Drosophila melanogaster: one gene and its partners. Changing the gene in region 1 together with any one later gene gives a genetic interaction. Each region holds a gene or a part of one and is shown on either strand. Other genes may lie near its edges.

Region 1 (11,068 bases):
TTAAATTGGTTAATTGTTTTATGATTAATTCGGGGATATGGAACTGCAATGAGCTGAAATGAAAAGCTTTGAAGATTTAAAAAGTATTAAAACATATAAGCATAAAACCCTTTCAAATAAAAAAGGTTGTATCCAAATGTTCTAAACAAAGTTCTTTTGATCGTAATAATCATTCTAATAGCTTCGTTTTATCGCATTATTTTAGTAAATTTATTTGATCTAACTCGTATCTTATTTAACGGTATCATTCAACAGCTGTTTACCTATGCTACCACCAATCTGGCAACACTGCAAAACCGATCTGAAAACATATTTTTACGCAAGTCAAACTGGCACTTGAATCTATAAATAGCAATCAAAAAGAAAGCTAATAATTTAATATAGGTGAAAAACAGGCAATTTATTTTTATTTATTTTTATTTATTGTTATTTATTGTTACGCAAGTCTAACTGGCATTAAAATCTATAAATAGCAATCGAATAGAAAGCTAATAATTTAATATAGCTGAAAAACAGGAAATTTATTTTTATTTATTTTGGAAACATTCATTTTTTCTATTTCTTTTATGCCGAAACCCGCTCGATTTGATACGTTTTTTCGTATTTCCGGCAACATAAAATAAGTCAGCGATAAGCGAAATTGAAATAAATAATTTAATTTTTATATTACTTCCAAGGCCTTTTTTATTACAGTGCACTTCCAATTTGCGTCTGCTTAAGGTTTGTGTATTACTTCCCATTGGAAACAACCATAACCTGTCCTAACCGCTAATAATTGTTTAATGGTGAAGCAGATATTAAAAAGTAGCGCGTTGCCTTCGCATCTGTTTGTATTTGCGAGCGTGTTTGTGTAGCGATACCGGGGCTCAAGATGCATATGTATGTACATACATTTGGGATTTGCCAAAATCTTTGGCTTAAATACATACATACAAGCAACCAAACATTTATGGGGGATTTTGTGCGACTGGATTCATTTGTTTTTCGGGTCACAAAAAAGCGGAAAATGGAAACGCTAATCTCGGCTAACCAATAACAACGAAAACCTTGCGCTACCGCTAAATGTTATCTCTTGTTTGAATGTCAGCGCTTAGAGAGCGTCTTCGCACGTATGTATGTACGGTACAAACATACGTATGGATGGATGGATGGACAAGCTTCCAGCGGTTTGTGTGTATGTATGTACTTGGCTTGCACGAAAGTTTCAGTTTCCTATCGAAACACGTCTTAAATGTGTATTTATCATCGGCTGTGGTACGAAATGCACGTCGGTGTATGCGTGCGTACGTAATAGTTGATATTTCTCTTTTTTTTTATTGTTACAGCACGGTTGCGTGTTATGTTTTGCATTTTGTTTTGAAAGCTCCGAAAGCTGTGCTTTATGTAAAAACATACGTACACTTGCCAATGTACGAATGTTTGATTGCACGATTGTATGTACGTACGTTTGTATGTTCGTTTGTACGTTAATACTTGGCGTGTGTTTGTGTATGCGGTTAGCACAAATCCAGCGAGAAAGAAACAACCAACGTTGGCTATATGTATTAACTTCAAAATAAAGTTCAGTTTAAGCTGGAGCGCAGTCGAGGTTGCGTCGCTTGTTCGTTCGGTCGGCTTTTTGGTCTTTCGGCTTTCGGCTAGTTCCTATATTGTATGTACGCATGGTAAGCATGCGTTCTCTTTCGCTTTTCAAGTCTCAGTTTCAGTTTTCAGTCTGTTCGATTGCGTTTGCATAGCATTGCATTGATTTAACAATAGCTAAATAAAGCTTAAAGAGTGTATCTGTGATTTATTTCTAAATGTGACCGCTTTGAGCCAATTTGTGCATAAATATGTATGTACATATAATGCTTTGGATTACATGAATCGCTATTGCCATTTCTGATGCACAATGATGTATGTATGTACGCAAAGAGCATACGAATGCATGGCTTGCATTACGTGATTTCATACATCTGTGGGTGTATGTATGTATGCACCATCGAAATGGCAACTCTTACGCATAAAAATTGCAAATGTGTATAAAGCCCCACGGACCCACACAGCCACATAAACATTATCGGACGCAAATGTATACATACAAAAAAAAGTTGGCTTGGTGGCTTAATTGTTGTTGTTGTTTTTTTGTTGATAGTGTGCACACAGTGCGAAATTAGTGTGATTAAATGTGGAGATGTGTGATTTAATAAGCATGTGGGAAATACAGCGAGAGTGATTGAGATGGAAAATGGGAGATGTACAAGCTGAACTTGCCCAGAAACATGTATACACACGTACATATGCATACGTTTGTAGGATTATGCTCGGCAAAGTGAAGTATTTCCTTACAAGCAAACACAGCCATATATGTATGTTTCTTTTTTTAAACGAATGGCACAGTAAAACAGAGACCGGAATAGATGTTGTCTGTACATATGATACTGTTGATATGATACCATAGCCATAATTTAATAGCCTTTTCATGTAGCATATGCGTCTAGCTATGCAATATCGGGCATGCATAACTGCATATCCTATGTACATATGTATATCGAAATATGGGATAAACATATCACTTGACTAACACATATGCATACATGCATACATACATACACATGTACTCATTAAAATTTAAAGATGCGTGCACAAATTTAAACATTGATAATATAAATTTATATGCAGCGCCGTGTGCATACATACATACATATATTATTTTCTAATTGGAAACGCGTTGGCAATGCCTAATTGGTTTGATTATAAAATTAAATTTCTTCATTTGGTCGCAGGTTTACGGTAACTCTCTGATTTTTAATAGGGTTTTCATATAAACAAGCGGGGTTCGATGAAGTGATATCCCCGGTTTCCCGTTATTTGTTTATACCTTTTTTTTTTTGCTTTCAATTGCTACTGAGTTCAGTATAATGCTATTTCAATAAATAATAATGTTAATTCAATTTAAAAGCTCGGGTTCCGTAGTGGTGAATATGTTAATTAGAAACATGATTAGAATGGGCTAATGCATAATTCCCCTATTGCAGACCCACTGCATCTTACACTTCGGGGGACTTTCTGACCGAAAACAATAGAATCAAATGACATGTGGATACACATGTGCATAGATACGTACATATGTATGTACAGAGATATGTACATATATGGCTTACTCATTGTTAACACTTACCTGTAGTTCCCCCCAGGTGATTCTGTTGTGTCATCCGACGAACAATGGATCATCGCAAATAGGCACTTCATTAATAAGTAAGCACAAACCGTTTCGGCCATAAATATCTGTGATATATGAATCATTTTGGCATCTCTGGTTATAAAAAGCCCACGTTTAACCGGTCCAAGGTTTTTATTTGGGTCTCTCGCACAACACAAATTCAATCTACAATTGAAGTGCTTTTTCGTGTTCTCTTGCAGATACTAGATCGTGAGATACGAGATCAAAAAAATAGATTCATGAGTACGACAACAGGAAAGGGAAACGTCGCAAAAGGACTCTTCGGGAGAATCAAACTACCTTAATACCATTAGCTAAACTTAGTTAAATATGTCAAATACGACGAGGTCCAGCCGAGTTACCATCGGTAGAATTGGAACCACGCCACAGATCACAGATCCATGGTCGTCCGGCTTGGAGAAGCAGCGACCTTCCCGCTGTGGAGGCCCCAAATCTCTCGCAGAGCCAACGTACCGAAAGATCGGACGGCGAAAGATGATGCTCCATATGCGAGTCCATGACCCTGGAACGACTGTAACACAAAGAGCAAAAGAAACGGCAACGGCAAAACTCAATAGAATCTATTTATGTACATTTAACCGAATGGCACAGAGCTGTATATATTTTGTATTATTTTTAGTAATCCTAAGCCCAAATACTAGTTGTGCTCTACGGAGTAGTGCGGGTGAGACTCAGAATTATGTCGGAATACTCAGCAACGATAGTGCAACGACCACATATGATGTGTCGTCCCTGCACAGCAGTAGAAGAACAAATCCCCCATCATCATCATCATCATCATCATCGAATGTTGATGTTGATTATCGTAATGACAGAGAGCTCCACAAGGTCGACCTGGTTGGCCTGGGAGGTGAAAGAGCGGGTCAAGCTGAGACCATTAGCGGCGGCAAATACGATTATAACTATGAAAATACTCACACAAATGCCAGTGCGAAAGATGAAATTGTTGAACGGCAGTCAAATAGCCTCGACTTCGACGGGGTCGATATGTTTGGCGCCTTCAGCATTCCGGAAGAGGCGATATACACAAATGAGTTCGCCGTCAACATTCCAGCTGGCAAGCAAATGGCAGATGTTATAGCTACCAAACATGGATTTATCAATAGAGGACAGGTGAGAATGTTTGTCCAACGCTGCAATGGAATTGGTGCTCATACAATTTACTTAATTTTTCATAGATTGGATCGCTGGACAACTACTATCTGTTTCAGCATCACCATGTATCGAAGCGTTCGCTGCGCTCTAGTCGCAAACATCAGGGCGCCCTTAAATCAGAGAACGAGGTGTGTACTCTCTAAAAAAGTATCCAGTTGGAGCAGAGATTTCAATCATGATTGCCTTGCAGGTGAAATGGATGCAGCAACAGCACGAGAAGGTGCGCCGAAAGAGGGACGGCCCGTACCAGGACTTACCCACCTACAGTCCGTATAATCTTTTACGCCAACACGGCGGCTACGTTGTCGATCCGAATCCGCATCTTTCATTCTCCCCAGAATCGATTTCGTTAGCCTCGCACTCACAGCGCATGGAGTACCGGGATGTCAGCTCGCATTTCATCTTTCCGGATCCGTTGTTTAAGGAACAGTGGTATCTGGTGAGTAAAGTATGTAATCATCTCTCATTTAAATGCATGCTTCATGAATCCATATATATTTTATAGTCCATTAGTCTATTAGCTCGATTCTCTATACCATCAGCGTAGTTTCCTTTGAGACGTTCAATCGATTGCTACTAACCGTGTTAGTGTTGATTTTGTTGATTTCGAAATATTTTCTTTTCATTTAACATGCTTTATTTGTAAATGTTTGGATTTCTTTGTTGATTGATTGCCTATTTTTTGCTTATCTCTTCGCCAATGTCATGTTTAATAATCAATTTGTAAATTCCCACAAAAATCGCTTTGTAGAATGGCGGCGCCAAGGATGGCTTGGACATGAATGTGGGTCCCGCCTGGCAAAAGGGCTACACCGGCAAGGGCGTGGTCGTGTCCATTCTGGACGATGGCATTCAGACAAACCATCCCGATTTGGCCCAAAACTATGTGAGTATCCCAACAAAAAAAAATCAATGATCAATTGTTAAAAATACTATTTAAACGCAGGATCCCGAGGCCTCTTTCGATATAAATGGCAACGATTCGGATCCAACGCCCCAGGACAATGGTGACAACAAGCACGGAACCAGATGTGCCGGCGAAGTGGCCGCGGTGGCTTTCAACAATTTTTGCGGAGTGGGAGTGGCCTACAATGCCAGCATTGGTGGTAAGTGATCATGGTTGATATGTATTAATTGCAAACCATCTAAGCTGTTTGTGCTATTAGGAGTACGAATGCTGGACGGAAAGGTCAACGATGTGGTTGAGGCCCAGGCATTGAGTCTTAATCCGTCACACATCGATATATACAGCGCTTCCTGGGGACCGGAGGATGATGGCTCCACTGTCGATGGTCCTGGTCCGTTGGCCCGCCGAGCCTTCATCTACGGAGTGACCAGCGGACGACAGGGCAAGGGCTCGATATTCGTTTGGGCCTCTGGCAACGGTGGACGCTACACTGACTCCTGCAACTGCGATGGCTACACCAATTCGATCTTCACCCTTTCCATTTCGAGTGCCACTCAAGCCGGGTAAGTTGACAGGATGTAGACTTGGATTCTGATTCAGTAATGTTGTTGCAGCTTCAAGCCCTGGTACCTGGAGGAGTGCTCCTCCACGCTGGCTACCACCTACAGCTCCGGAACGCCGGGACATGACAAGAGCGTCGCCACCGTCGACATGGACGGCAGCCTGAGACCCGATCATATATGTACGGTGGAACATACGGGCACCTCGGCATCGGCACCACTGGCAGCCGGCATTTGCGCCCTGGCGCTAGAGGCCAATCCGGAATTGACTTGGCGCGACATGCAATACTTGGTGGTGTACACATCAAGACCGGCGCCACTGGAGAAGGAGAACGGATGGACACTGAACGGTGTTAAGCGAAAGTATAGCCACAAGTTTGGATACGGTTTAATGGATGCTGGAGCAATGGTGTCACTGGCGGAGCAGTGGACATCGGTGCCGCCGCAGCACATCTGCAAGTCGCGGGAAAATAATGAGGATCGCAAGATAGATGGTGCATACGGTTCCACCTTGTCCACGCATATGGATGTCAATGGGTGTGCGGGCACGATCAATGAAGTGCGTTACCTAGAGCATGTCCAATGTCGCATTACCCTACGGTTTTTCCCGCGAGGAAATCTTCGCATACTGCTCACCTCACCGATGGGCACCACCAGTACCCTGTTGTTTGAGAGGCCGCGCGACATCGTCAAGTCCAACTTCGATGACTGGCCCTTCCTGAGTGTTCACTTTTGGGGCGAGAAGGCGGAGGGTCGCTGGACACTGCAGGTGATCAACGGCGGACGCCGGCGCGTCAATCAGCCGGGCATCCTGTCCAAGTGGCAGCTGATATTCTATGGCACTTCCACTCAGCCCATGCGGCTCAAGTCCGAGCTGCTGAACAGCAGTCCCCAGTTGCGCAGCCCAAGCAGCTCCAATCCGTTCCTCTTCCCATCGGCCTCGAACATTGGCCAGCCTGCCAACGAGGGTGGGAACTTCAATACGGATAGCTTTGCCAGTTACCTCAACTATCAGAACATCTTTAGCAGCGCTGGCTCCGATCCGGAACCGGCAACAGCTACATTGGACGGTCAGAATGTGACCGCAGCGATTGCTGGCGGCTCGTCGGCTGAATCCCTTGGATTTACCGCCTCTGCTGCTCAACTGGTAGCGGCGCCCGAAACGAGGGATGGCGACAAGAAGATCCTGCACTCCTGCGATGCCGAGTGCGACTCCTCCGGCTGCTATGGCCGTGGACCCACACAGTGCGTTGCCTGCAGTCACTACCGCTTGGACAAGTAAGTGGTACCAACATGCGCATTTGTGGAGCTCGGGTGCTAATGGTTTTCTGTTTACAGTACTTGTGTAAGTCGCTGCCCACCGCGTTCCTTTCCCAACCAGGTTGGAATCTGCTGGCCCTGTCACGACACCTGCGAAACGTGCGCCGGTGCCGGACCCGACAGCTGCCTCACATGTGCTCCGGCCCACCTGCACGTCATCGATCTCGCCGTCTGCCTGCAATTCTGCCCGGACGGATATTTTGAAAGTAATAATCTGGCTTTGTTCATCAAAAATTTGCTATTGTTAAACAATTATTTCTTTGTACTCTCCACAGACAGCAGGAATAGAACTTGCGTTCCCTGCGAGCCCAACTGTGCCTCATGCCAGGACCATCCCGAGTACTGCACTAGCTGTGATCACCATTTGGTTATGCATGAGCACAAATGCTACTCGGCCTGTCCCTTGGATACGTACGAAACGGAGGATAACAAGTGAGTAAACATATATTTGATTAGCTCTCAATAAGAGCTTAATTTGTTAATCACATCGCGTTCAATAGATGTGCCTTCTGCCACTCGACTTGCGCCACCTGCAATGGCCCCACGGACCAGGACTGCATCACGTGCCGCTCGAGTCGATATGCCTGGCAAAACAAATGCCTTATTAGCTGTCCGGACGGATTCTATGCCGACAAAAAACGTCTGGAGTGCATGCCCTGCCAGGAGGGATGTAAGACCTGCACCAGCAACGGAGTTTGCTCCGAGTGCCTTCAAAACTGGACGCTAAACAAGAGGGACAAGTGCATCGTGAGCGGCAGCGAAGGCTGCAGTGAATGTAAGCTCATCCATAAGCAAGCAGTTTATATCCTGGCTAATTTGCCAAAAATTGCTTGATTTAATGTATAATTTGCTGACATGCTCTTCATCCTGCAGCTGAGTTCTACAGCCAGGTTGAGGGACAATGCCGCCCGTGCCACGCCTCCTGCGGCAGCTGCAACGGTCCAGCGGATACCAGCTGCACGTCCTGCCCGCCGAATCGACTGCTGGAACAGAGTCGCTGTGTTAGCGGCTGTCGCGAGGGCTTCTTCGTGGAAGCGGGCTCCCTATGCTCACCATGTCTGCACACGTGCAGCCAGTGCGTCTCGCGGACAAACTGCAGTAACTGCTCCAAGGGTCTGGAGCTGCAGAATGGCGAATGTCGCACCACCTGTGCCGATGGGTAAGCTGTTAAGATTGAATTACCACCAGTGTCCCGGAGCTGCAGCTTTCAATGTGTGCCGTATATCATTATAGATACTACAGCGATCGTGGCATTTGCGCCAAGTGCTATCTCAGCTGTCACACCTGCAGCGGACCGAGGCGCAACCAGTGCGTCCAGTGCCCGGCTGGATGGCAACTGGCCGCCGGCGAATGCCATCCCGAGTGCCCCGAGGGCTTTTACAAATCGGACTTTGGATGCCAGAAGTGTCACCATTACTGCAAGACGTGCAATGGTATGATATACTGTCAATCTTCTAGCATGGTGGCTAATGTGTTTCCCCAATATTTTGCTTTTCCAGATGCTGGACCATTGGCGTGCACGTCGTGTCCGCCACACTCGATGCTCGATGGCGGTCTGTGCATGGAGTGCCTGAGCTCACAATATTACGATACGACGTCGGCAACATGCAAAACGTGCCACGATTCGTGCCGCTCCTGCTTCGGACCCGGCCAGTTCTCGTGCAAGGGTTGTGTGCCGCCGCTTCATCTGGACCAGCTGAACAGCCAGTGTGTGTCCTGTTGTCAGAATCAAACGTTGGCCGAAAAGACTTCGTCAGCGGCGTGCTGCAATTGCGATGGCGAAACCGGTAAGCAAATAGTTTATACGAGCTGCAGGATCTAATATAATTGAAATGGAAACTGTTTTCAGGCGAATGCAAGGCTACCTCGACGGGTGGCAAGCGGCGCACGGTTGTGGGCAGTGGTAGTGCGTACAAAAGCAGCGAATCCAAGCACGGATCCTTCGAGAACGATGGCAATGCCAGGGAGTTCGTCCTGCGACTGGACTCTCCGCTGACGGCAATCACAGCCATAGCTGTGGCCATATGCCTGCTGATCATAACAATATTCTCCATCATCTTTGCTGTTTTACAGGTAAGAAACTGGACTAAAGGTAATTGAATATAATTTCAAGTTCAAGTTTCGTACTCTTTGTCCAGCGCAACAGCAACCATGTATCCAGAAATTCAGTGCGATATAGGAAAATAGCGAACACGTCGTCGGGCAGGCGAAAGAACTTGTCCGCTAAGCCCACCAGCGATGCAAGATTCATTTTTAACATTGGCGAGGACGATGATACAGATGGTGATAATTCCGATGACGAGTTGGACGGCAACGTGGGCACAGATATAAACAACAGGATCGTCTACGACCGCAAAGGCAATGATCATGGACACGAATTTTACATTGAGAGTACAAATGATATTGATGCGATCGAGTTTCACTGCAATGGAGCCGGAGCCCAGAAAGCAGAGACCCAATTACAAAGGTGCAATGCGAACGGAGATGATGATGATATTCTTCATTACGATAGGCATACGAATGCGGAACGAAAAAATCATCCTTCCTCAACCACAAGCCGTACAAACATCCGTAGCTGATTGATTGATCAATGGACGACGCGACAGCGAACGTAATTGAACCAACCAACCAACCAACCAACAAACCAACAAACCAACCAACCATCAAGAACTTTGATCTTGGCTTTCTTGCTCTGGACTAGTAAATTGTAACCTTGCTTTGAAGGAATATAGCGAATCGAAATATTTAACATCTGAAAATGATAAAAATTTATATGTGATTGTGAATTGTTTTTATATATATATTTGTAAATTTAATGTTTGTATTAAATTTTTATGAAAAATGTTATGTCAAGTTGAATGATGACAGTGTCTTTTTTTTATTGTTCCCAGCCATATCTTTTCTATTCAAATAGGGAAGATAAAAATGGTTAAGAGAGAAAAAAACCAAAATAAATTTTGATCGATTTATTGGCAAACATCCGAGAACAAGAGAAAATATCGCTTTCGATACAACAAAATTAGTCTTAGGATTTATTGTTTTTAGTTTAATAAATTTTTTAATAAATGTAAACAATTTTTAAGTATCTGAACCCATTCTTCTTTTGTTATTTATCGTTGTTATTTGTCAAGCATATTTCTGCGATGCACGTAAATGAAAGGGAAGGCATTATTATTATGGTTTTCATAACATTTCATCTCATTTGTTGAATATTTATATTTTCAGATTGCAGTGCATCCATCCATCCCAGTGAAATGCAGAGTTTCGGTTGGTAGAAAATGTTTTATTTACAAAAATAGAAAATATCTACATATTTAAATATATATGTGTTTCGATCACTTATTTCAATATTCAAGCCAAATTATTGTAGCCATGTAGTTTTGGATTTCAGAATTTTCATAATGTTAGTTTTTCCTTGTAAATCATTAGAAATTCGTTAATACTTATGTCTTCTTCTGTCCTATTTAGCTGCGTACGCTAAGTATACAAAATCGAATATATATATTTTTACATAGTTGGCTGAGAGGTATATTACATGGACGCGGATCCGTATTTAAGATGCGATCCATTTAAGATATAGTACAGTCGCAGCACATCAGTGAGTAGTACAAGCATTTAACGACTTTCTCATCGTTGTCATCGTACTCCTTGCGATTCAATTTGGCCTTGTCATTGTCATAGCCTAACGATTTGGCATCCAACTGGTCGGCGGCCAGGCCCTCCACCTTTTTGGACATCTTTCGCTTATTCGCATGTATCAGTTCGTTGGTGTTTCGCTGTCCCACCATTTCGTCGATCCAATCGAAGTCTGTGGCGTTTCCCTGAAACCTGGTTAAACTGGAAATGGTTTCGATCGAATTGATATCCTCCTGTTTGTGCAAAAAGAATTATATAGTTATAATT
Region 2 (11,573 bases), on another chromosome or scaffold:
AAAACCGGACAAATTCCAGACAATTACATAATGACATAACCTCAACTCGCAGTCCATTTGTTTTTGTTTACACTGTATTGCTGAAATGCTAAAATGTTTATAATCAACCGTTTTAAGTAATTTCTAGCTAGCGCAAACTAAATCTCTTAGAATACTAGTCGGCAGCCCTTAAATGCCGTCCGTTACTATATAGTTCATCTAGTCAAAGCGGGATCATGTTTTTCAACAGAAATGCATTACAGCTAGTATATTTTATTAATGCGCCTTGTGTTAATCCCACAGAGAGCATTGTGGAGCCGAACCAGCAGAAGCAGAATTGGTACCACCAGCGCTTCCGCCGCGTTCCGACGATCGACCAGTGCTACACGGACGATGCCGTCTGCCGTTTCGAGGCCGATCAGCAGTTCCGCCGGGATCGCATGGTCGACAACGAGATTGTCAACATTCTGCGCCAGCGCTTCGAGGACTGCACCCTCTACGAGGCACCCGATCACATGGTCAAGTGCAGGCCGCTGATGGATCAGTACGAGAAGGCCACCGAGAACTGGTTCATCAAGTGTGAGTGGAATCCCTTACCCATCTTCTTTAAAGTTGTATGTGATATATAACGAGATATAACCCATTATAGATGGCGACTTGGGAGGCTACGCCAATGCCAAGACCGCGTACATGAAGCAGAAGCATCGTCTGATCTGGGAGCGTCGTCATGGACCAGTGGGCAGTGGCATGAAGGAGGAGGCCGCCCATTAAACTCCGCTTTTATGATGATGTTTTCTAGTTTCATTATCCGTTAAAACAAAATATACACGCCGTAAAACGATATTCCCAAGGATTGAGCTTTCTTTCAATTGTTTCAGTGTAAATTATAAGGTAAGAGCTACTAGGAATTATTTATTACTACAGCAGTTTCAATTCATTTGTCTATTAGTTGCATTTATTCTTAGTCATGTTTTTCTTAAAATAAATATTAATATTGGCGTTTGATATAGAATTTTGGCTATAGACTAGCTTAAAACTAATAGTTCTCAAGATTAAGAGCCTTGGTTAAGTTGTTCCAGTGAGTAAAATAAAGTTTTTGCCTGCGTACTGCAATAAGTTTACAGAATATAGTGATAAATCATAAAACTCACACTGTAATTCTTCAGACTTTTTCGAAAATTTAGACAATTTCAAAAAGAGTTCCATAATTTCTCATTTTTTAAAAAAAGGAATGCACAGTCCATAAATCATTTGCTTTTCTTAAAAAAAGAAAAAATTACACTTTTAGAAATAGATACCAATAGATAGGCAATAGTGAAATTTGTTCAAGCTTTCTAGAATTACGCTATCTTAGATTACTTTCGAGCTCAGCTAATCGAGACCAGCGGCTTGTTGATGAGACTCTTTTTGAGCTTAGCCAGAGCGCTATTTGCGGCCTTGTCTCCTGGCTTCTTGTCCTTGTTTTTGGGACCCAATGGTATCATGGTTGTGTCCATTAGCTTGCGTCTGAATCCCTTGTAGAACTGCAGCACGTGTGGATTGGCCCACACTTGCTTGGCGTCAAAGTCCAGGATGCGAATGGACTGCAGGGATTTCGCACGGGATAAGGCCACATAGGCCTGTCCAGCCTCAAATACTTTGGAAAGGGACATCTCCACGCAGTCGAGGGTTAGTCCCTGACTCTTGTGTATGGAAAATGCCCAGGCTAACTTCAGTGGCACTTGGCGTCGTGTTATATGGTTTCCTGAGGCGGTCTTTATTATCCACCTTTCGTGCTTGCAAACGTATTCCTGGTTGTTTTTGAACCTTACCACTGGCAGATCCTTCTCCATTCTTACAACGACGCCTCGAGCTCCGTTCACCAGTCCATTGGATATGTTTATATTCTTGAGTAGCATTACTTGGGCGTTAACTTTTAGGTACAACTGAGATGGAGCCTGGATCTGTTGATCCAGTGTCCTGGTCATGCTGGCATCGGAGTCGTCAGCCTTGAATAAAATCTTGTCGCCATCGAGGTTTTCCAGCTTGGACTCGTTAATGGAGTTCGCATCGTTTGTGTGGGAGCAGAGTTGAGTGGCCAGAATGCCGTTTCCCTCAATTTTCTGCTTTGATGTAGCTGCAAGTCGACTGGTTATGGAATCGTTCACATGGCCAATTCGGAGGTGGTTCAGAATCTTTACAAACTCCGGATCCGATTGCCGATGCACTTGCTTCAGTTCGTAGACACACTGGATGCAAGTCTCCCATGCGGAGGACTGAAAGCAGAATCGTTGCTGGGGCGTGGCAGTGGGGGCTGCACCAAAATCTCCCTTTATGACCGGAGGCAGTTGCAAGAAGTCACCACACAGGATGAGCTGTATGCCGCCAAAGGGGCGATCATTGCGCCGAATGTGACGTGCGACGGCTTCAATTTTCTGGGAAAATAATTGTTAACACCTTGCTGAATTCAAAGTAAAGATAAAGTACCTCAAAGAACTGTCCGTCCACCATGGAGATCTCGTCAATAATCAACCGCTTGCACTTCCTCCACGTCTGGGCATTTGCGGGTCGGGAAGCCAGCTCCAGACACCGCTGCATGGTGGCGTCTCCTCCTCCTATGCCAGCGAAGGCGTGCAAGGTGGTCCCACCGATCAGGCAGGCTGCCACTCCCGTGGAGGCCGTGGCCACCGTTCCATCGGGCGGCAGGGCTGAGATGATCCTGCGGAGCAAGAAACTCTTGCCAGTGCCTGCTGAACCGGTGAAGAATACGCTCTTGCCCGAGGTGCACGCCCGCAGGACTTCCATTTGCTCCTCACTGAGTCTCAGCGACTCGTCGGTAGTCGACGCATATAGTTTCTTGGCCGCGGGCATGGTGCCCCGTTCCTTCTCCTCCTTGAGCTCCTCGAAGCGACGCTTTTTGGCGCCCTGGGGCGACGGCGTGGTCACTGACCCCTTGGACAACAAACCCGCCTTTTTGCGCGCCAAAATCATCTCGGCCGTGGTGACTGGAGAAACGTCGTTAAAGCTGCTTGGCTTGCCTGACATCAGGTGCTCGCGGAGTTTCTTCTGCAAGGTCGCATCGTCCGGCTGGGATCCTCCCTCGTTTCCGTTCATTTTAACGAAGATCGTCCGCAGGAAGAACATCAAAGTCCCCGGCGGTGCATTCGATAGATAGAGGGTGCACTTCTCCGCCTTGAAGTTGAAGGTGGCCTTGCCCTCGGACATGAACTTCTTGTGCACCATCAGATCCTTCAGCTTGAACTTCAGGGGCTTTAGTTTCTCCGGCGTCACCTCAACAAACAATTCACGCAAATCGTTCCGCACCAGGCGCAATGTGGCAGTCTTGTAGGCCAGTTTGCGACCCGTGATGCCCACCGCATTGGTCCACTCCATGTTCACCGCACAGGTGAGCACTGCGTCATTGAGATCCATGGCGAAATTAACTTCACTTCAGTCAGTTTCCGATTAAATTAAATTAAATACAAAAGCCAAATCTTTTCCATGCGCTTGGTCGCCGATCGGCTTATCGATATCAGCGTAAAATTATCGATATCACATCGGATGGCGTGAACGCATCATGATCGTGCACAAGTATGTTATAAAGTAGCAAAGTTCCACTCCAGGATCAGCTGTGTTACAATTCCGTTACAATTTAAATTGCTACATTTAAGGATTACAAAACAAGTAGGCCAGGAAAAGTAATTTGCTATGCCTATAACTTTCAATTGCACACTAATTAAGAAATATCACCATGAATGTGGATCTGAGATTGATTGTGCGCCTGTTGCTGGCCATTCTATTGACTTCCTTGGTAACTACCATTTTAATGGGCAAGCAGATACACAGAAGACTCGTGAAGTCCATGGTCAAAACAACCGGCGAAAAGGATAGTTTGCCAGCAAGGCAGCTCCCAAAAAGGGAGATCAGCCCGAAGGTCGCAGATTTCCCACCACCACTAACACTGAACCAAACTGAACTGGACATCTTAAAGATCCAGCGAAACAATAGTTTCCGCCTGCCCCAGCAAGAAGCTATTAAGGAGTGGCAGGATGCGATTTTCTTTAAAGAGGATAGTAACCGCAGGGGATTGGGTGAGCAGGGAAGAGCAGTTCAGTTACCAAACGCTAAATTAAACCCCGATGATTTCCAAGACTTCTATGCCGAACTCTCCGATCGCATTCCCCTGAACAGATCCTTGCCGGATACCAGACCTATAAGGTTAGTTCCTATGAAGTTTAAAATACTATACAATTTAAAGACTAAGAACTTAGTTGCCGGAAACGGAAGTATCTGGAGAACCTACCCAATGTGACAGTGATAATAGCCTTTCACGATGAACACCTAAGCGTTTTGCTAAGATCTATAACGAGCATTATAAATCGATCTCCTGTTGAGTTACTCAAGCAGATTGTGCTCGTGGATGACGATAGTAATTTGCCGGAATTGGGACAACAACTGGAAGAGATTGTGGCTCAAAACTTTCCGAAAATTATTCACATACTAAGACTTCCAGAACGACGTGGTTCCATCAAAGCGAGAATGGAGGCAATCAGGGTGTCCAGCTGTCAAGTTTTGGTCTTTCTAGACTCCCACATCGAAGTCAACACCAATTGGGTAATATTTAAAAAGGAATCAATTAATGTGGATAAATCTAGATAATTTCCTACTTTATAGTTGCCTCCCTTGCTGGAACCTATAGTTATTAACCCACATATAGTCACCCGTCCCATTTTGGATGCCATCTCACGCAAGACATTTGCCTATGCCAAACAAAATACGATGACTCGCTCCGGTTTCAATTGGTGGCTTGAGTCTGAGAGCTTACCAATTTTTCCTGAGGATAAAAGTCCTGATTCCACACCCTACCGTACACCGGTTTTATCAGGAGCTATGGCGATTGACAGGAACTATTTCTTGAATCTGGGGGGATTTGATGAGCAGCTGGACACCTGGGAAGCCGAGAAGTTCGAGATAAGTTTTAAGGTCTGGATGTGTGGTGGAATGATGCTGTATGTACCTTGCGCCCGGGTGGGTCACATAGGTAAAAGACCCATGAAATCGATTAGTAGTCCAGGATACCACAATTTTCTGGCCAGGGTAAGTGGAAAAACAACTCAAAACATGGGGGGTGGCGTATACGTAATATATTGTTTAACCTATTAAGAATATTACAACATAATTTAATAAGAGGATCTCTCCCTAGAACTACAAGCGAGTAGCTGAAGTTTGGATGGATAATTACAAAAAGTATGTGTACGACAAGAATCCGAAGCTCTATAAGATGGCCAATGCTGGTCTGCTTTTCCAAAGGAAAACCAAGAGAAATGCTCTGGAGTGCAAGACCTTCGATTGGTACATGACCAAGGTGGCTCCGGATTTTCTTAAAAGGTACCTAGCATTGGATTCGCCTTTGGTTTTCTCCGGGGTCATTGAAAGTGTGGCATTTCCTGGATTCTGTGTGGACTCCCTGAATTGTAGACACACTAAGCCCGTGGTTTTAGCCCGGTGCACTGGGCATAATTCAATGCCCGGCGAGCATCAGAACTGGTCCTTAACGCAGGATCATGAGATTCAACTGACGAACAGCAAAGATGATTGCTTGGAAGCGCAGGGCCTACGCTCAAAGTCGGTGTGGCTCTTTCGTTGTCACAAAAATGGTGGGAATCAGTACTGGTACTACAATCACCGTCATCGGTGGATCCAACAGGGCCAAATATGGGTGTGGTGCCTGGAAGCCCAATTGGCTAGTGGTCATAAGGTTGGCAAGGTTCTGGCCAATAAAATCTGCGATAAAAACCAACTGGAACAGCAGTGGAAAGTTGGGCGAAATGCGCCATATGATCCACAAAGGGAGCCTCATTAATATGTATAGCACAGCAATTATTAAAATAAATATTTAAATACAATTTTAGATACGAATTTTGCCTTATATGAAAGTATGCCTTCAGATACAGATGGCGCTCACGCCAATCCCCAGCCCAGTTCAAAGAGTGCCTGTGCAGATGGCGCCACCATGACGCGCGCTCCGCTAATTTGAATTCGCATGCAGAGATATTTCGTATATTATTGTTCTTTTCGCCCGACTTTTTCTCAGGTGAGTGTGGGATCTGGGCCTGACCTTACACGTCACCGGGCAGCCGACTCGTCTGCCACTGATTGATAGTGGAGAAGCGTGTTTTTTGTGGCCAACTGAAAATGTGAAAACTTCTTCGCCGCCTTATCACTGAGTCGCGGTTTCCCAATTACACTAATGGCTGTGCTTTTTGCCAGGTGGCTGCTCCTCTGCTGCATCGGCATGCCAGCAGTCAGTATTTTGGACTTCCGCCGCCAAGACGTCCACATGGCCATAAAAAAGAGATATGTAAAGCGCCTGTTGCGCAAGGTGGTCCTCCTCTTGGTGGTCATCGTCACTGTGTCCTTGGTCACCACTTTGGTGGTCGAACGGCGAATGAAAAATGCGGCGGAGCTGACGGAACAACTCGATCCGAATGGAGATCCCATAACGCCCGTTTTTAGGGCTGCCAATATACATCCAACTCGGAAAGCGCCACGACCACCATTTCAGGATCGCAACTCCGTGGTAGATATTCCGAGAAGTGACAAACTCCAGGGATTCCGACTACCGGAACCGAAGGGAGAGCGCAAGGATTGGCACGACTATGCGGCCATGGAGGCGGATAGAAAGCGATCCGGTTTCGGTGAGCACGGAGTAGCCGTAAAGATCGAAAATCCCGATGAGAAGCAGTTGGAAAAGGAGCACTACGAGATGAACGGCTTTAATGGCCTCATATCGGATAGAATCTCCGTCAATCGATCTGTGCCAGACCTCAGACTCGAGGCGTAAGTACATTCCCCATAGCGTGTTATCAATAGTTAAAACACTTATCTTATCTTTACAGTTGCAAGACCCGGAAGTATCTGGCCAAGTTGCCCAATATCAGCGTGATTTTCATCTTCTTCAACGAGCACTTTAACACCCTGTTGAGATCGATATACAGTGTGATAAATCGCACTCCACCGGAATTACTTAAGCAAATTGTGCTCGTGGACGATGGCAGCGAGTGGGATGTTCTGAAGCAGCCTTTGGACGACTACGTCCAGCAGCACTTTCCACATCTGGTGACTATAGTGCGCAATCCGGAGAGACAAGGTCTAATTGGAGCCAGAATAGCTGGAGCCAAGGTGGCAGTGGGACAAGTGATGGTGTTCTTTGATTCTCACATAGAAGTCAACTACAATTGGGTAGGATTTTCTAGTAAGCAATATGTTTGGATACAGAAGAATACTCTATGTTGCTATATTTACAGCTGCCTCCCCTGATCGAACCCATTGCCATTAATCCCAAGATCTCCACCTGCCCCATGGTGGATACTATTTCGCATGAAGATTTCTCTTACTTTAGCGGAAATAAGGACGGAGCACGAGGTGGATTCGATTGGAAGATGCTGTACAAACAGCTTCCGGTTCTGCCCGAAGATGCGCTGGACAAGTCCATGCCGTACCGGAGTCCCGTGATGATGGGCGGTCTATTTGCCATCAACACGGACTTCTTTTGGGATCTGGGCGGATACGACGACCAGTTGGACATCTGGGGCGGTGAGCAGTACGAGCTGAGTTTCAAGATCTGGATGTGTGGCGGTATGCTGCTGGATGTTCCCTGCTCGAGGGTGGCACACATATTCCGGGGACCCATGAAGCCAAGGGGCAATCCAAGGGGACACAACTTTGTGGCCAAGGTGGGTGCTACTCTCTAACCAGTTCTACTTTTTTAATTCTAATTATATTTGGTTTTAAATCTCATTTAGAACCACAAGCGCGTGGCAGAGGTTTGGATGGATGAGTATAAGCAATATGTGTACAAACGCGATCCGAAGACCTATGACAACCTGGATGCCGGAGATCTGACCCGCCAGCGTGGAGTTCGAGAGCGACTCAAGTGCAAGAGTTTCCACTGGTTCATGACGGAGGTGGCGCCTGATTTCCTCGTCAAATTCCCGCCCGTGGAACCACCTAGCTACGCCGCCGGCATCATTCAGAACGTGGCCAACCCGGTCTATTGCCTGGACAACATGGGCAAGTCCACCGAGGAGGCGGTGGGTATGTTCAGCTGTGCGGACAATAGGACCCATCCGCAACCGAATCAGTTTTGGGAGCTCTCCATATTCCGAGACCTCCGGATGAAGGGCTTCGATTCAGTGTGCCTGGATGTGCACGAGGGACCGCCGAATGCCACCGTTTGGATGTGGAGCTGCCACAGTCAGGGTGGCAATCAGTTCTGGTACTATGACAGGCAAACCCAAAGGTTGGTTCACGGAGAGAACAACAAGCGCTGCCTGGAGGGATTTGTGGAGAACGGCATAGCCAAGGTGGTGGCCAATTCCTGCGAGAATGGCAACGATCGCCAGCGCTGGGAGTTCGGATTCGTGAACCACACTATGCTGGACACCTTCTACGATGGATTAAAGTAGACTTTCATCCACGAGCCACTAACAATTCGAGTAACCACAGGCCAGATGTCGATCGGTTCAGGTCGGGGACCGCGATCGTCACGGGTTTAGTTCATTGTTCGTTGTGAAGGTTTCTGAAAAAAAAAGTTCGCTAAGTAAATTCCATTTTTCCATTAATTCTTGCCCCATGCATTATTGATATATGGCAGCGGAAAGTGAAAGATCTGGACAGGCAGATCGCAATCGGAGCGAGGATTCTGTCCGATCGCGAGCCACAAACTCTGATCTTTATTTGCTGTACGTACACTATATTTAGGTATTAATGTTTCGAAGAGATCCTCGACTACTTGTAAAGTTAAGAGATCGTAACTATGTGAAATTAAACAATAATAAAAGTTACAAGTGTATTGTAGAATCAATAAATACCTTAAACATTTTCTTTTTATATAATATAGATGTAATCGATGTAGTGAGAGCATCTGTAGTACTTCTTCACTTCCGATTTGAATTTTCGACTGTCGCAAAACCTTATCAGCAGGGCTGTTGACCTTTCTACAAAAGGAGAAAGAGGAGTCGGTAAGAGGTAGCAGACACCAGATAGACTAGAGAAGTTCCCACCCCTCCGAGGTCTGAAGTCCGAGATCACCAAAAAAAAAAAAAAAACCAGACATATTGTTAAGCTGATGTAATTTAAGACGCAGTTGCGCGATTGTCCCAGGAGAGGACGAAGATCGAAGATCCCTGGATGAATGTGGATGGATGGCAGCAGGCAATGACTTAGCGTCAAGCTGTCTCGATCTTGGGCTGGCTTTATCCTTATCTATGCAGTTCATTATCTACCAAACGAAAGCACATGCTAATTTATAGACAACGTGATGTTGTTTTGCTCATTTCCTCCGCATTTTTTTTCTCGTCGCTTTTCATATTTTGTGCATAAACAAAGTCAAGTGATTTGATTTTTTGGCCAACGCGACGGCGACGCCGCTTCTCAATCGGATTCACCGAATGTGGGTCATCGACGTCAGCGGAGATGGGGGTCTTATTTGCTTCGGAAGATTCCCTTTGTTAGGGCAGTTCACTTGTTGATGGGCGTTTGGTAATAGATAACAAAAATGGTCAAGTAGTACTTGTATATCTGCGAGTTTTCTTGGAAACTTACTTACCACTGAATAAAATGTGATTTCCATCTTAAGTAGGATGGGTAGATAATAAGCTATATGATATTCACTCTATAAATAATTTGAATTGGTAAACCACAATACATAGTCCTAAATACCTTTATATTATATTGCAATAATACAGCACATTCATTGATTTGATTACCACGTGTATTTGGCAGAGTATATAAATATCATTGGACTTTTTTGTTTACGTTTCTCATGGTTTTCGCTCTAGCCGAAAAATATAAACAAGTCGATGTCGTCTAGCCCATTCACAACCATCTCAGACTCGTTTGGGAATAGAACCCACCGATGGTAATGACCCACCGTTCGTCCGTATGTTTCACGCAATTCGATGGTGCAATTTCATCAGCCTCCCCGAAAAAGATTTCATCCGAATTTCACTATATATGTACGTATGTATTACCTGTCCCCCGGCGGATGGGAAAAACACCCCTCGGCGCTTAGAGAACCGGCTAGGAATATCTCAAGACGCATTTTAACTTGGCTGCAACGCAGTAGGAAAACTGCCTGCCGTCTCTTTCCTCGCGGCTATAGGCCTGTCTCTCTCTCTTTGCGCAGGTACATCATATTGTATCTGATGAAAACGAAAGCAAAATCCGAACTGGTTTCTTCGAGGGTTGATAAGCCCTAATGGAGGTGGAAAATGCGGAGAAGAGCCGCTCTCTCACCCAAAAAATAAAATATATAAACATATCAGCCGGCACGTAGGGCGGTTTCTATGCTGTGGACTACGTGCTAGATGACACGGCAAAATTGTCCGTGTTTTTCGTGTTCTGGCTCCCTTGTTTACCGTTTACTACTTTGGGGGTCAGTTGGCACCCAGCTAACTCCCACCCCCATCTAGTGTAATTGATGGATTTGGGTCATGCTTTCCCCAATTCAAATATGCTCCTCGTCACATGGAAATCTACTTTCAAGGTCTGTCAAGCTTCCCCATTTAGCCATCATAAATATTAGCACGCTTAAGTATCGACCTTGTGCAGATTTCTAGGTGGGCGCCATCCCCTGTCCCACATCGAGATCATGATCGCCGCAGATCAACACACGTGGCCACCTTTTGTCAACCCCATATCCCTCGGAATGGCCCGTGGCCAATATCCGAATTACGTCGAATCGTGGGCGCCAACGTAGGCAAAAGTTCCTGTAGCACTATTTACATGCGTCCAACGATTAAATATCGTCAACATCGCCCCCGCATAGCTAAAACCGCTCGTGCCGCTGCTTGGATCCACCCTATGCTTGCTGCGATCAGTGGGGCATATTAGTTTGATTCCAAACAAGATATTCCACCTCAAAGAACTTGGGAACTAATAAGGGTTCGATCACCAAATTTGGTGATATGATATATGTATTTCTTTAGATATGTGCGCTAATATTAAACGGCTAAGAAGTCAATGTGCCAAAGAAAAGATATTAAATATGTATGTTTCATATCAGTCAAGTTAAATTTTGATATGAGCTAAGCGTACTTTTGGATTGTGCACTCCTAAATATAGAAATCACGCTAAAATTGCATATCTAAGTAAATAAAGCAAGTAAGTTATGTAAGACGTGTATCTTTTCGTGATAATTATTTCAAAACGGCTCGTGCCAGATAATAATGAACACTTTCCGCCTGAAAAAAAGTGAAATGCTGGGTATCTTTTAGCCCATAAAAACCTGCAATATCGTTGCTCAAATTGCTATGCTCCGCGAGTTCGCACATGCATAGAAGGCACTCATAGCCTACGTCACGATTGCCGGCGACGTGTCTTTATGCTAATTAATGGTATTTCGCGAAAACGAGTGCAAAATAATGGCCCCATGGAGAGAGCGGCAGTACTTCACGAAATTCTGCGGAACACCTCTTGACTCCCAGACAGCCATAGATAAGATCCCAATTGCACCTGAGTCATCATCATTTCCCTAGCAAGATCGACAATAGACTTGGTTTTTAGAAAAGAATGCGATTGGCGTTTAGTGCTGTTGGCTAACTTGTTTACCA
Region 3 (9,614 bases), on another chromosome or scaffold:
TCGAAAGCTAACATTTAGGCAGACCGCGTCCGACGCAAATAATCAATGATTCTCAGTGCAATTCTATCTGATAAAAAGCCATGAAACGGTCTGTCTCGTTTTTTTGAGTGCACGCAGACATGTCTGCCGACACGACGGCTGCAAGTTCTATTGTTATTTATAAACAAAACCTGCATTTTGCAGGCATATTTTAGGAGATTAACATTTAAGTTTACTGTTGTGCACTTATCATCGGAGTTCTAGTTTAATTAAGTATGTTACTTGAATTTGTTTGTTCAAATGGTTATTTGTATGTATGTATGTACATACGCGTGCATGTGTGTACGTGACTGCATGCACATAAGTATGTATGCACTTATGTAAACACCGCTCACTGTAAACAATTACTATAAATTAAATATAAAACAAAATTTAATAAATTAAAATAATACATTCAAGTTATAACAAATAATTCAGAACAACGAATAAAAAAATTAATTTACTTACTTTTTTCCAGGGCCATCAAATCGTTTCAGGAGCTTTTATACCTAAGTCCCAATTTTACATGTGCAAATGAAGTTCATTTGCGTCTAGGTCTTATGCTAAAACACTGCGGGGAGTTCCATATTGCCCTAAAACATTTACAATTGGCGCTGCTTTATACATATCCTTCGACCTTTTCGGAACTTCAGGGTAAGATCTATTGAATAATTATAAACTTTTGCATATAAGTTTCATGTGTAATTAAAACTGTGATCTGAAAAGGTTTTTCTGTTCTTCAGTTATTTACTTATCATCTTAAAATGTTATCTTATTATTGATATATAAACAACTTATATGCAAAAAGTCCTCATACATTGAATTATCAAGTAATACGATGAAGGCAAACTTCTATGATTCATTCAGAATTTAAATATTTTGCAGTACGTTCACCCCGTGTCTTAAACTTTATTCATTATTAATACTTTGCAGTCAAATTTCAAATCGCGCATTTGTACGAAGTTCAAAACAAGCACAAGGCGGCAAAGGATGGCTACGAATTTCTTCTAAATGAGAAAAACATCTCCTTGGAGCTCAAAGCAGATGTTTATCGACAATTAGGTAAGTTAAAAAGTTATATTTTAAGCTGGTAGAGACATAACTTTTTATTGAATCCTTATAGGATGGATGTACCATTGCGTAGAATGCCTAGGCGAAAAAAAGGAACGTGAAGCAAACGCATTAAATTTTCTACAAAAATCAATCGAAGCTGACCCAAAGAGTGGACAATCATTATATTTACTAGGAAGGTGTTACGCCGGCATCAATAAGGTTCATGATGCTTTCCTAGCATATCGCAACTCGGTGGAAAAAAGTGAGGGGAATGCTGATACTTGGTGCTCAATCGGGTAAAATAACAATGAATGTGTTTAGCTTGGCCCCTATCTTATTTGTATTCTACACATGCACTTCTAGCGTCTTATATCAGCAACAAAATCAACCCACGGATGCCCTTCAAGCCTACATATGTGCTGTGCAACTGGATAAAGACCATAAAGCCGCGTGGACCAACCTGGGTATACTTTATGAGAGCTGTGGTCAATTACGAGATGCCTATGCTTGCTACTTAAATGCAACCAAACAAATATCATTCCAGGTAAATTTATATATGCAATTGTAGCCATTTCCAATACCTAACACACTTGTTTTGCTTGAAGAAGTCTTCGTTAATTCGAAAAAAACAAGCAATACGTATGAAAAAGGACACAATTGGACTGTCGAAAGGCCTGTCTCAGAGAATCACTTTCCTGGAGGGCCAGCTCAGTCAAGCACCATTGCCAAGTATTACATCCAAGCGCCGCCAGCTGTGTTCAATCGAAGAAGCTTGGAACCTGCCAATATCATTAGAAATGAACTCTCGCCAACAACAAACAGCGCAGATGCTACCAAGACAGGTCACAAAGCAAAGTCCAGTACAGGTGAATTCCTTAATCCTAAACCAATCAGTGGGCAATCAACTAAATCATGTTTTTAAACAGGGACCGCCACCACCTTATCCGCATAGCCAACTCAGCCAAAGTCCCATACCTTCGAAACGTATTAAGGAAGATGGCACAAGCCAACAAGAAGTAACACAAAACAACAGTCAGACATCAGCGCAAAATCTAATAAGTAAGTGACCAATTTAAATAGTATATATCTTAAAGTATTAAATCACTTTTTAACACTCCAAACAGACATTTCGGAATCTTTAAACCAGCGCAACTTCAACGCCATGCCGGAGAGCAACAAAAGTTCGGAGCAAAGTGTTCTTGACACCTTCGACGACATCTCGAATGATATTTATAAACAGAATGAGAGCATCAAGCTCGAACGTTTGAGCCAGGATGCACTGAGTAACAATGAGGACTCGAGGCATGATTTTATTGGCGGTGACAACGCCGACATCTCGACCACGTTCAAAATACAAATGGACTCGAAGCAGTTGATGGTAGCTGTGAAGCTGCTGCCGATTGATGAACCGCCCGTGCACTGTACCATTTTGCAAGTGAATGCGCCGCCGCCATCTCCGCCCGATTGCCCACCGCAGAAACTGACGCGAGATCAACTCCTGCCTCCCACACCCTCTGTTCATTTAGAAAATAAGAAGCACGCGTTCAGCCCACAGTTGCAGGAGTTTTGCCTGAAACATCCGATTGCCGTTGTACGCGGCTTAGCGGGCGTCTTGAAGCTAGATCTCGGTCTCTTTTCGACCAAAACGTTGGTGGAAGCCAACCCGGACCATAGTGTTGAGGTTCGGACACAAGTGCACCAGTCTCCCGATGAAAATTGGGACACTTCGCAGGGTAAGCGCGTCTGGGCCTGCATTTCCCATCGGTCTCACACAACCATAGCCAAATATGCCCAATATCAGGCATCCAGTTTTCAAGACAGCTTGAAGGTAATGTTCGTTGGGTTGGTTCCTCTTTAACATGAATACAAGTTTACTTTATCGTGTAGCTTATTTTACCGCAGGATGAAAGCGATAAAGGTTTCCCCGGCTCGCAAGCAATGTCGGATTCAGACTCAAAGGACTCGGTATCCAATTCGAACATTGTTCTCAAACGTAAAAAACACAAAATAAACAGCAAAATGTTGAGGTAATAGAAACTCCAAACCATTTATGTCTGCATTACGAACTTTATGAACATAAATTAAATGCTTATTTCGCTTTTTTTTTTAGGTTCGGGACCAACGTGGACCTCTCCGATGAAAAGAAATGGAAACCACAATTAACAGAGCTACAAAAACTGCCAGCTTTTGCGCGAGTTATATCCGCTGCCAATATGCTATCACACGTGGGCCACGTCATTTTGGGCATGAACACCGTTCAGCTGTACATGAAGGTGCCCGGAAGTAGGACGCCTGGCCACCAAGAGAACAACAACTTCTGCTCAATCAACATCAACATCGGTCCTGGCGACTGTGAATGGTTTGCCGTCCCTGACGCCTACTGGGGCGGAGTTCACAATCTTTGCGAGAAGAACAACATTAGCTATCTGCACGGCTCGTGGTGGCCCGTCCTGGAGGATTTATACAAGGAGAATATACCAGTTTATAGATTTATACAAAAGCCCGGTGACTTGGTTTGGGTGAATGCCGGGTAAGCACTGAATATGAAAGGAAGGATGATGTATTAACAATCAAACCTACTTTCAGATGCGTCCATTGGGTTCAGTCGATCGGTTGGTGCAACAACATTGCGTGGAATGTTGGACCCTTGACTGCCCGTCAGTATTCTCTTGCCATCGAGCGATATGAGTGGAATAAAGTGCAGGCCTTCAAGAGCATTGTGCCGATGGTGCATTTAAGCTGGAATCTTGCAAGGAATATTAAAGTGTCTGATACCAAACTTTTCGAGCTGATAAAGTGAGTTAGCAAATGATAGGAATCACCATTATGCAGATACTATAGGGCATACATATGTAATTTGTAATTTTCAGAATGTGTTTGCTGCAAACGTTGAAAAACGTATTGCACATACAAGAGTATGTCAAATCGAAAGGTGTGGAAATACGTTTCAATGGACGCGGAAAGAACGAAGCATCCCATTACTGCGGACAATGCGAGGTATTTAGCGTAGTATTATTAACATATTTATACAGTTTCCAAAGGTGATATGAATGCAGTTTATTTAATCATTTGTGCACTCTTTGCAGGTTGAGGTTTTCAATGTGCTGTTCATCAAGGAGCAGGAGAAACGACATGTGGTCCACTGCCTATCGTGCGCGCTGAAGCTATCTCCGTCGCTCCAGGGAATCGTTTGCCTGGAGGAGTATCGTCTGTCTGAGCTGCAGCGCGTGTACGATTCGTTTACTTTACACAGAACCCAAGGACTAGCATACACTCAGTAGTTGTAATACGAGGAATCATTTTAAGTAATGCAGATTTAATATATGTATATTTTACAACGTACAATATACTCTCTATTGTTTTGATAAAACATAACGGTACGAATATATAGAGATGGGATTTTTCGAATAAAGCCATCAGAGCAGTTTTTTCGGCTATTATGTTTGATAGTCGAAAAAACTGGAGCCCACTTGAGTAGCGAAACTTACCTTATGATGACAATTTTATTATGACTTCAAATATTTAGACCCATCTTTTATAGTTTAATTTAAAAAAAAAAACTTTAAATTTATCCAAAGTTTAGAATGCGTTTTAATTATATATATGAATAAATTTAATTTATAATCTTTCGCAATGACACTGAAATTAAAATCCTTCTTTTTATTGAATTGGCTGTTATTACTTTAGTACCTAAATAAGTTACAGTGTAGAGAGCAACGATAACTGCTGTAAACACGATAAATCAATTGGTTGATATTGGTGTAGCCCTGTTTTTAGCCAGCCATGTTTCTGCGTATACTGTGTCCAACTATGAAATCCCAAAGTGAACTGGCCATTGTGCTCACTTGGTTGGCAGTGCTGGGGACGGCTCAAGATGATGCCGATTACTGCGCCGAGCTATCCACGCAGTCGCTGGCCAAAATTCTGGGACAGGCATTTAATCCGCGCTACATGAGCATCGATCCGCCGGGCGAGCCCGAGGAGAAGAGCTATCATCTGGGATACAAGCGATCGTCGTACGAGCTGCCCTTCTATGCGGACAGTGATGCGATTTCGGTTAGCCACTTTCCCGCCTGGGAGACCAACCACTTTGCGCTGGTAGAGAAGAAGAAGGAGGCACCGAGGAGCAAGAGTCTGCGCACGAGAAGCGCCTTCATGGATCGTGTGGGACATCCGAGAATCGATGGGTTCAAGCAGCGGCCGTGGGAGTGCTCGTCGAAGATCAACTGGATTGACTTAGGCTTAAATTACTTTCCACGCTATATCCGTTCGATCGAGTGTATTGCCAGAAAATGTTGGTATGATCACTTTAATTGCAAGCCAAAATCATTTACAATAAAAGTACTGCGCCGTAAAACTGGCTCATGCATTCGAATAAACGATAAATTGATTTTGATCACCGCAGAGAAGTTTGAGAATGATTATACGCAGCTCTGGATTTGGGAAGAAATAGCGGTTAACTTTTGCTGTGAATGTGTTATGCTATACTAGTAGCGCCATTTAATCAAGATTTAATTAATATACACGTTTAAAATGTCAACAAAAAACTTTAATAGCATTGGGAACAACAGATACCTTAATGGGTCTTGCATCGTACTCCTCGCCATCGATGGAGTAAAACTTCTCGCCCATTTCACCATCCGGATGCAGTTGAATAGTCCTGCTCTTAACCACCAAGCTGGGTAAAATTTTGCTGCACGTGACTTCCGGAATTTGTTTGATAAACTCCCAGCCCGGCTGCAGGGAGCTTATAAACTGACTTTCCAGCTCCGCAAAGTTATCCTTGTTCTGAACACAATTGATGTTAATCTGGCTGGCTTCAGCGCTTCCCTCGAACTTCTTGCTGCAATTGTCGTTCTTGACGAGCGGCCTCTTGGTTTCACCCGGATTATTCTTGTACTTAATGAGGCCTCTGGTGAAGAGGCCAGAAGGCTGGGCGGTCTCCTGGCGCTGCACAGTAGCAGCACAGTCAACGCAGCCAGGACACGGCGGTGTGTACACATAGTCGGTCTTAAGGCTCCAGTTATCGGCAAAGGACTTGGACGCAGCGGAAGCGTAGTGTCGCAGTGGTCCAAAGTACCAGTACTTATCCTTTGCCGCATCGATGTCCTCCAGCAGACCCCAGGACAGACCATTAAGACCGAATATGGGCTTCAATTGGCTATTGCTGCCATCTTCTTCATTGATCACATCAAAGCGGATCACACTCTGGTACTGGCTCTCATCCTTGAGCATAGGTTCAAGGGCTTTCGAAAGACTTTTCACATAGTCGACGTCCTTGACGCCAAAGATGTTGATGCGCTTGGATGCGGACTGCACCGAACGTCCCAGCGGAAGGATGGTGATCGGGCAGAGATTGCCGCGCCTACGCATCAGCCCAGTGACCACCTCCGATGAGGTGCCGTCGCCGCCGGCAACAACAATGGCATCGGGTAGCGTTGCCAACTCCTCCACGTAGGTTTTGGCATGACCAATGTGATTCGTCCGAAGGATCTCCACCGAATATCCAGCTAAATGCAAAACCGGCTCGCAGTAGTTCTTAAACTGAAAATCTATGGCTGGGTTATCATCTTAGTCAGCTGTGTGCCAGCTACTTACAAACTTCTCCGATCTCTTCTTGTTGGCCACCGGATTCATGACCACCAGTACCTTTTTGGGGCGATCCGATATCCAGTTGGCCTGAATGTTGGAGGCGAATTCCCGCATATGTTGTTCAATCCTGGAGAGCAAATAAGGGGGTTAAAGTTGCGTCAAATTTTCACGGTTTTCTGAATGCATACTCGATGTGAGTTTTCAGCGCTTGCAGCGCGTACACAGATACTGCCGCTCCGAACGTGCATTTCTTCCAATTATTCCGAATTACTCTTAAATAATTCATATTTTCAATTTCGACCGATGATTTTGATTCCACATGTATTGGTTTGGCCGCACACAAACAGCTGGATTTTAGATCGTCAAGGGTATTCCAGCCAGTTTACATAAGCTTTAAAATAACAGAAACGTTTAGCGCTGAAACGGGAACACTGAAAATTGCACACTCTGTTACTTAACAGTGTATCTTAATCAGTTAGAAACAAATTTATTTATTCAAGTTTAAACTCAACGTTTTATTCAACAAGTCATTTTTGTTCCACATTGTCATAGATATCCTCTAAGCCTGGGAGGTTTCTCAGTTTTTCTACAAAAACATCATAGGTCTTTTGCTCTTCGGGTGATAATTGCACTACATTCTGAAAGATAATACTATTTAGATAAAATGAAATTGAATGAAATGAATGATTTACCATTGGTGAAAATATGTGTTCACTGTTTTCCACGGTGTATCCGGCTTTTTCCAAGTTCCTACTTAAGCTAGTTAAAACCACTGGACTGCATAGGAACTGTATGTAAATGTAGGAAAATTAATATTTATATAATATAAATGAAAAAAAAGAAAACATACATTGACGGAGCCATCGACATTGTCAACGACTTCGATCTCTTCGGCGCCCAACTCTATAGCATCATTGGTGGCTTTATCCTCCAAACTGGATTCATTTTGAAGTTTCGCAGTATCATAGCGAGTTTCAATCAATCCAAAATCCTCGAATAGGCTTCCAACATCCATGAATTCGCCTCTAAAAATCTCATAGGTAAATTATATCCAACAAAATGATGCAAATTGAGATATTACCCGGCTTTTTTGATCATCGGTGTCGCATCCATTTTAACGCCAGAAAAGTTGTCGGTATAGAAAATGCATATGAGGTACACGTTTCTTTTGTACTTGATGTCGAGTCGGTACTTCTTTAGTTGCACTTTGCTGGCCTTGAATTTGTTTAACGTATTTTGTATGGTGCCACTGGGCATGTTTTGCTTGAGGGCTCTTTCTATTTCCGTTCGCAAAAGGGAGTTAATTGCCGGATCCGCGGAGTTTCCCTCCTGAATGGCCATTCGAATTTGCCTCGAAATTTTTGCAAATAGCGCCGCTCGGGCCCCATCTTTCAGTGCTTTGGTGTGCTTGATATTGGCCCATTTGGAATGGCCTGCCATTCCACGAATCGGTTGCTGGGCTTGGAATATGCATTTTCCAAAATGCGTGGAAAATGTGCACACATTTCGTAACATTTTAAGTTCTAGTGTTGTGATCTAAAAAGTGGACTAGTGTTACCGGCGCAGAAGTTCCTAAAAATCCGTGTTGCTATAAAAAATGTGGTCTAAATTTTCAAATATATTTGATTTAAGTTAAATGGGGTATTTTTTTTAATTTGTTGTGAGAACATGGGGATGTTTTTTATTTATTTAGTTTTTTCGTTATGTGCTAACAAAAGAGAGATCTAACTATCTTTGTACAAGAAAGTATATAAAATATGCAATTGAAATTAAGGATTCCATAATGCACGCAAGACCACACTAAAGGACATTTCAGCAAATTTTCATTAAAAATTTTACCGCCGACTTTTTTTTTATTAAAGTATGGCGTTTTACATAGAGTAACAACATAAATTATAATATCTATCCCGTCACTTAAAACCCCATTTCACATTAACATAAATTTAAAATATACATTTTTGCATCTATTCAATTCTATACAACTTGCAGTTGAACTTGCTTTTGGGTCAAACAGCTTGCAGCACTCTCGTAACGAATTAACTTATTCTGATGAGTTGTGGTATCATTATCGTAATCCGAATTAACAACAAAAACATCGACGACGTTTTCAATGGTGAACTGCTCATTTTGGAGCGTATTCGTCAATACCAAGGGTGTTATTTTCACGAGGCCCAATTTAGATGGACAGACGGACAATGGAAATTCGGCAGATTCGCCACTTTGTAGAAGATTCAGCATAAAATCAGCACAGCCCGTGTATTGACTATCGGGCGAAAACTTGGCAGCCAATCGCACATTCAGTTTCATTGGATGCTCGGATGTGTTCGTCACGCGACAATTGAACGTGAATATCGTGCCGATTTTAATGGTGTTCTTCGCATCCAGTACTTCCAGGCGGAGCGTTTTGCATTCGAATGGCTAAAAAATGAGAATATTATTTGGGATCTATTTTATTTACAACTTGTACACCTACCAATCGCTGTAGCTGACTGGTTTGCAGTCTGCCCTTCTCGCCCAGATTCGACCTCCAGACGATGTCCAGTTTACCCACATTATTAAATTGCCGCAGGGTATCTACATTCTTCGCAATATCTCCTTTGGGCTGCACGCAAGATACGAAATTGTATGAATTTTTTATAGATAAGAGAATTCAACTCATCTCACCTTGATGCAATAGAGGAACTGACAACTATTGTTGGGTTGCAGCATATGTTTCACCGTGAATACGGATTCCCCATTTGGCAGCGTGTTCAGTGGTGTGACGGAGTAGTCCTCGGAGCCATCCAGCTCCACCTTTTCCAGGCAGAAGGGACTGGTGGTCACGTTTTGGATTTGTGCCTCCAAGTAGATTTCGTCGATTTCCGCATTGTAGAACTTGGTTTTCACATCGAGTGGCTTCAGCACTTGGAACTTGAAAAACTTTCTCAGCGATTGAGCATAGCCCGCAGGAG

What was found.
Region 2: of Fur2 (region 1) and Pgant4, changing one suppresses a phenotype caused by changing the other (phenotypic suppression), as found in Drosophila melanogaster (one study listed by BioGRID).
Region 3: of Fur2 (region 1) and trk, changing one enhances a phenotype caused by changing the other (phenotypic enhancement), as found in Drosophila melanogaster (one study listed by BioGRID).

What each region holds. Positions count from the first base shown.
Region 1 is NC_004354.4:16,371,524-16,382,591, forward strand, and holds Fur2 (furin 2), read left to right. Parts: upstream 1-1,562; 5' UTR 1,563-1,664; intron 1,665-1,698; exon of another isoform or gene 1,699-1,900; intron 1,901-2,106; exon of another isoform or gene 2,107-2,311; intron 2,312-3,017; exon of another isoform or gene 3,018-3,237; intron 3,238-3,402; 5' UTR 3,403-3,532; coding exon 3,533-4,336; intron 4,337-4,401; coding exon 4,402-4,506; intron 4,507-4,568; coding exon 4,569-4,826; intron 4,827-5,129; coding exon 5,130-5,264; intron 5,265-5,324; coding exon 5,325-5,484; intron 5,485-5,544; coding exon 5,545-5,848; coding exon of another isoform or gene 5,849-5,852; exon of another isoform or gene 5,853-5,899; coding exon 5,900-7,123; intron 7,124-7,183; coding exon 7,184-7,371; intron 7,372-7,440; coding exon 7,441-7,597; intron 7,598-7,665; coding exon 7,666-7,940; intron 7,941-8,038; coding exon 8,039-8,324; intron 8,325-8,398; coding exon 8,399-8,598; intron 8,599-8,664; coding exon 8,665-8,952; intron 8,953-9,014; coding exon 9,015-9,238; intron 9,239-9,303; coding exon 9,304-9,744; and 2 more. Other genes in the region: nonA (no on or off transient A), read left to right, coding at 1-24; CG9992 (uncharacterized protein), read right to left, coding at 10,735-11,034. UniProt on the Drosophila melanogaster protein: Furin is likely to represent the ubiquitous endoprotease activity within constitutive secretory pathways and capable of cleavage at the RX(K/R)R consensus motif.
Region 2 is NT_033779.5:3,466,505-3,478,077, forward strand, and holds Pgant4 (polypeptide N-Acetylgalactosaminyltransferase 4), read left to right. Parts: upstream 1-6,098; 5' UTR 6,099-6,298; coding exon 6,299-6,798; intron 6,799-6,857; coding exon 6,858-7,200; intron 7,201-7,265; coding exon 7,266-7,694; intron 7,695-7,763; coding exon 7,764-8,426; 3' UTR 8,427-8,834; downstream 8,835-11,573. Other genes in the region: ND-PDSW (NADH dehydrogenase (ubiquinone) PDSW subunit), read left to right, coding at 283-558, 629-750; Pif1 DNA helicase, read right to left, coding at 1,347-2,393, 2,446-3,390; CG31776 (uncharacterized protein), read left to right, coding at 3,710-4,176, 4,230-4,572, 4,633-5,055, 5,162-5,821. UniProt on the Drosophila melanogaster protein: Glycopeptide transferase involved in O-linked oligosaccharide biosynthesis, which catalyzes the transfer of an N-acetyl-D-galactosamine residue to an already glycosylated peptide.
Region 3 is NT_033779.5:10,267,450-10,277,063, reverse strand, and holds trk (trunk), read left to right. Parts: upstream 1-4,739; 5' UTR 4,740-4,854; coding exon 4,855-5,562; 3' UTR 5,563-5,607; downstream 5,608-9,614. Other genes in the region: Utx histone demethylase, read left to right, coding at 497-672, 952-1,080, 1,142-1,367, 1,435-1,615, 1,677-1,937, 1,998-2,130, 2,196-2,899, 2,959-3,098 and 4 more; Mulk (Multi-substrate lipid kinase), read right to left, coding at 5,608-6,615, 6,670-6,790, 6,852-6,949; CG4957 (uncharacterized protein), read right to left, coding at 7,191-7,301, 7,356-7,451, 7,514-7,688, 7,745-8,103; CG4953 (uncharacterized protein), read right to left, coding at 8,638-9,081, 9,137-9,265, 9,328-9,614.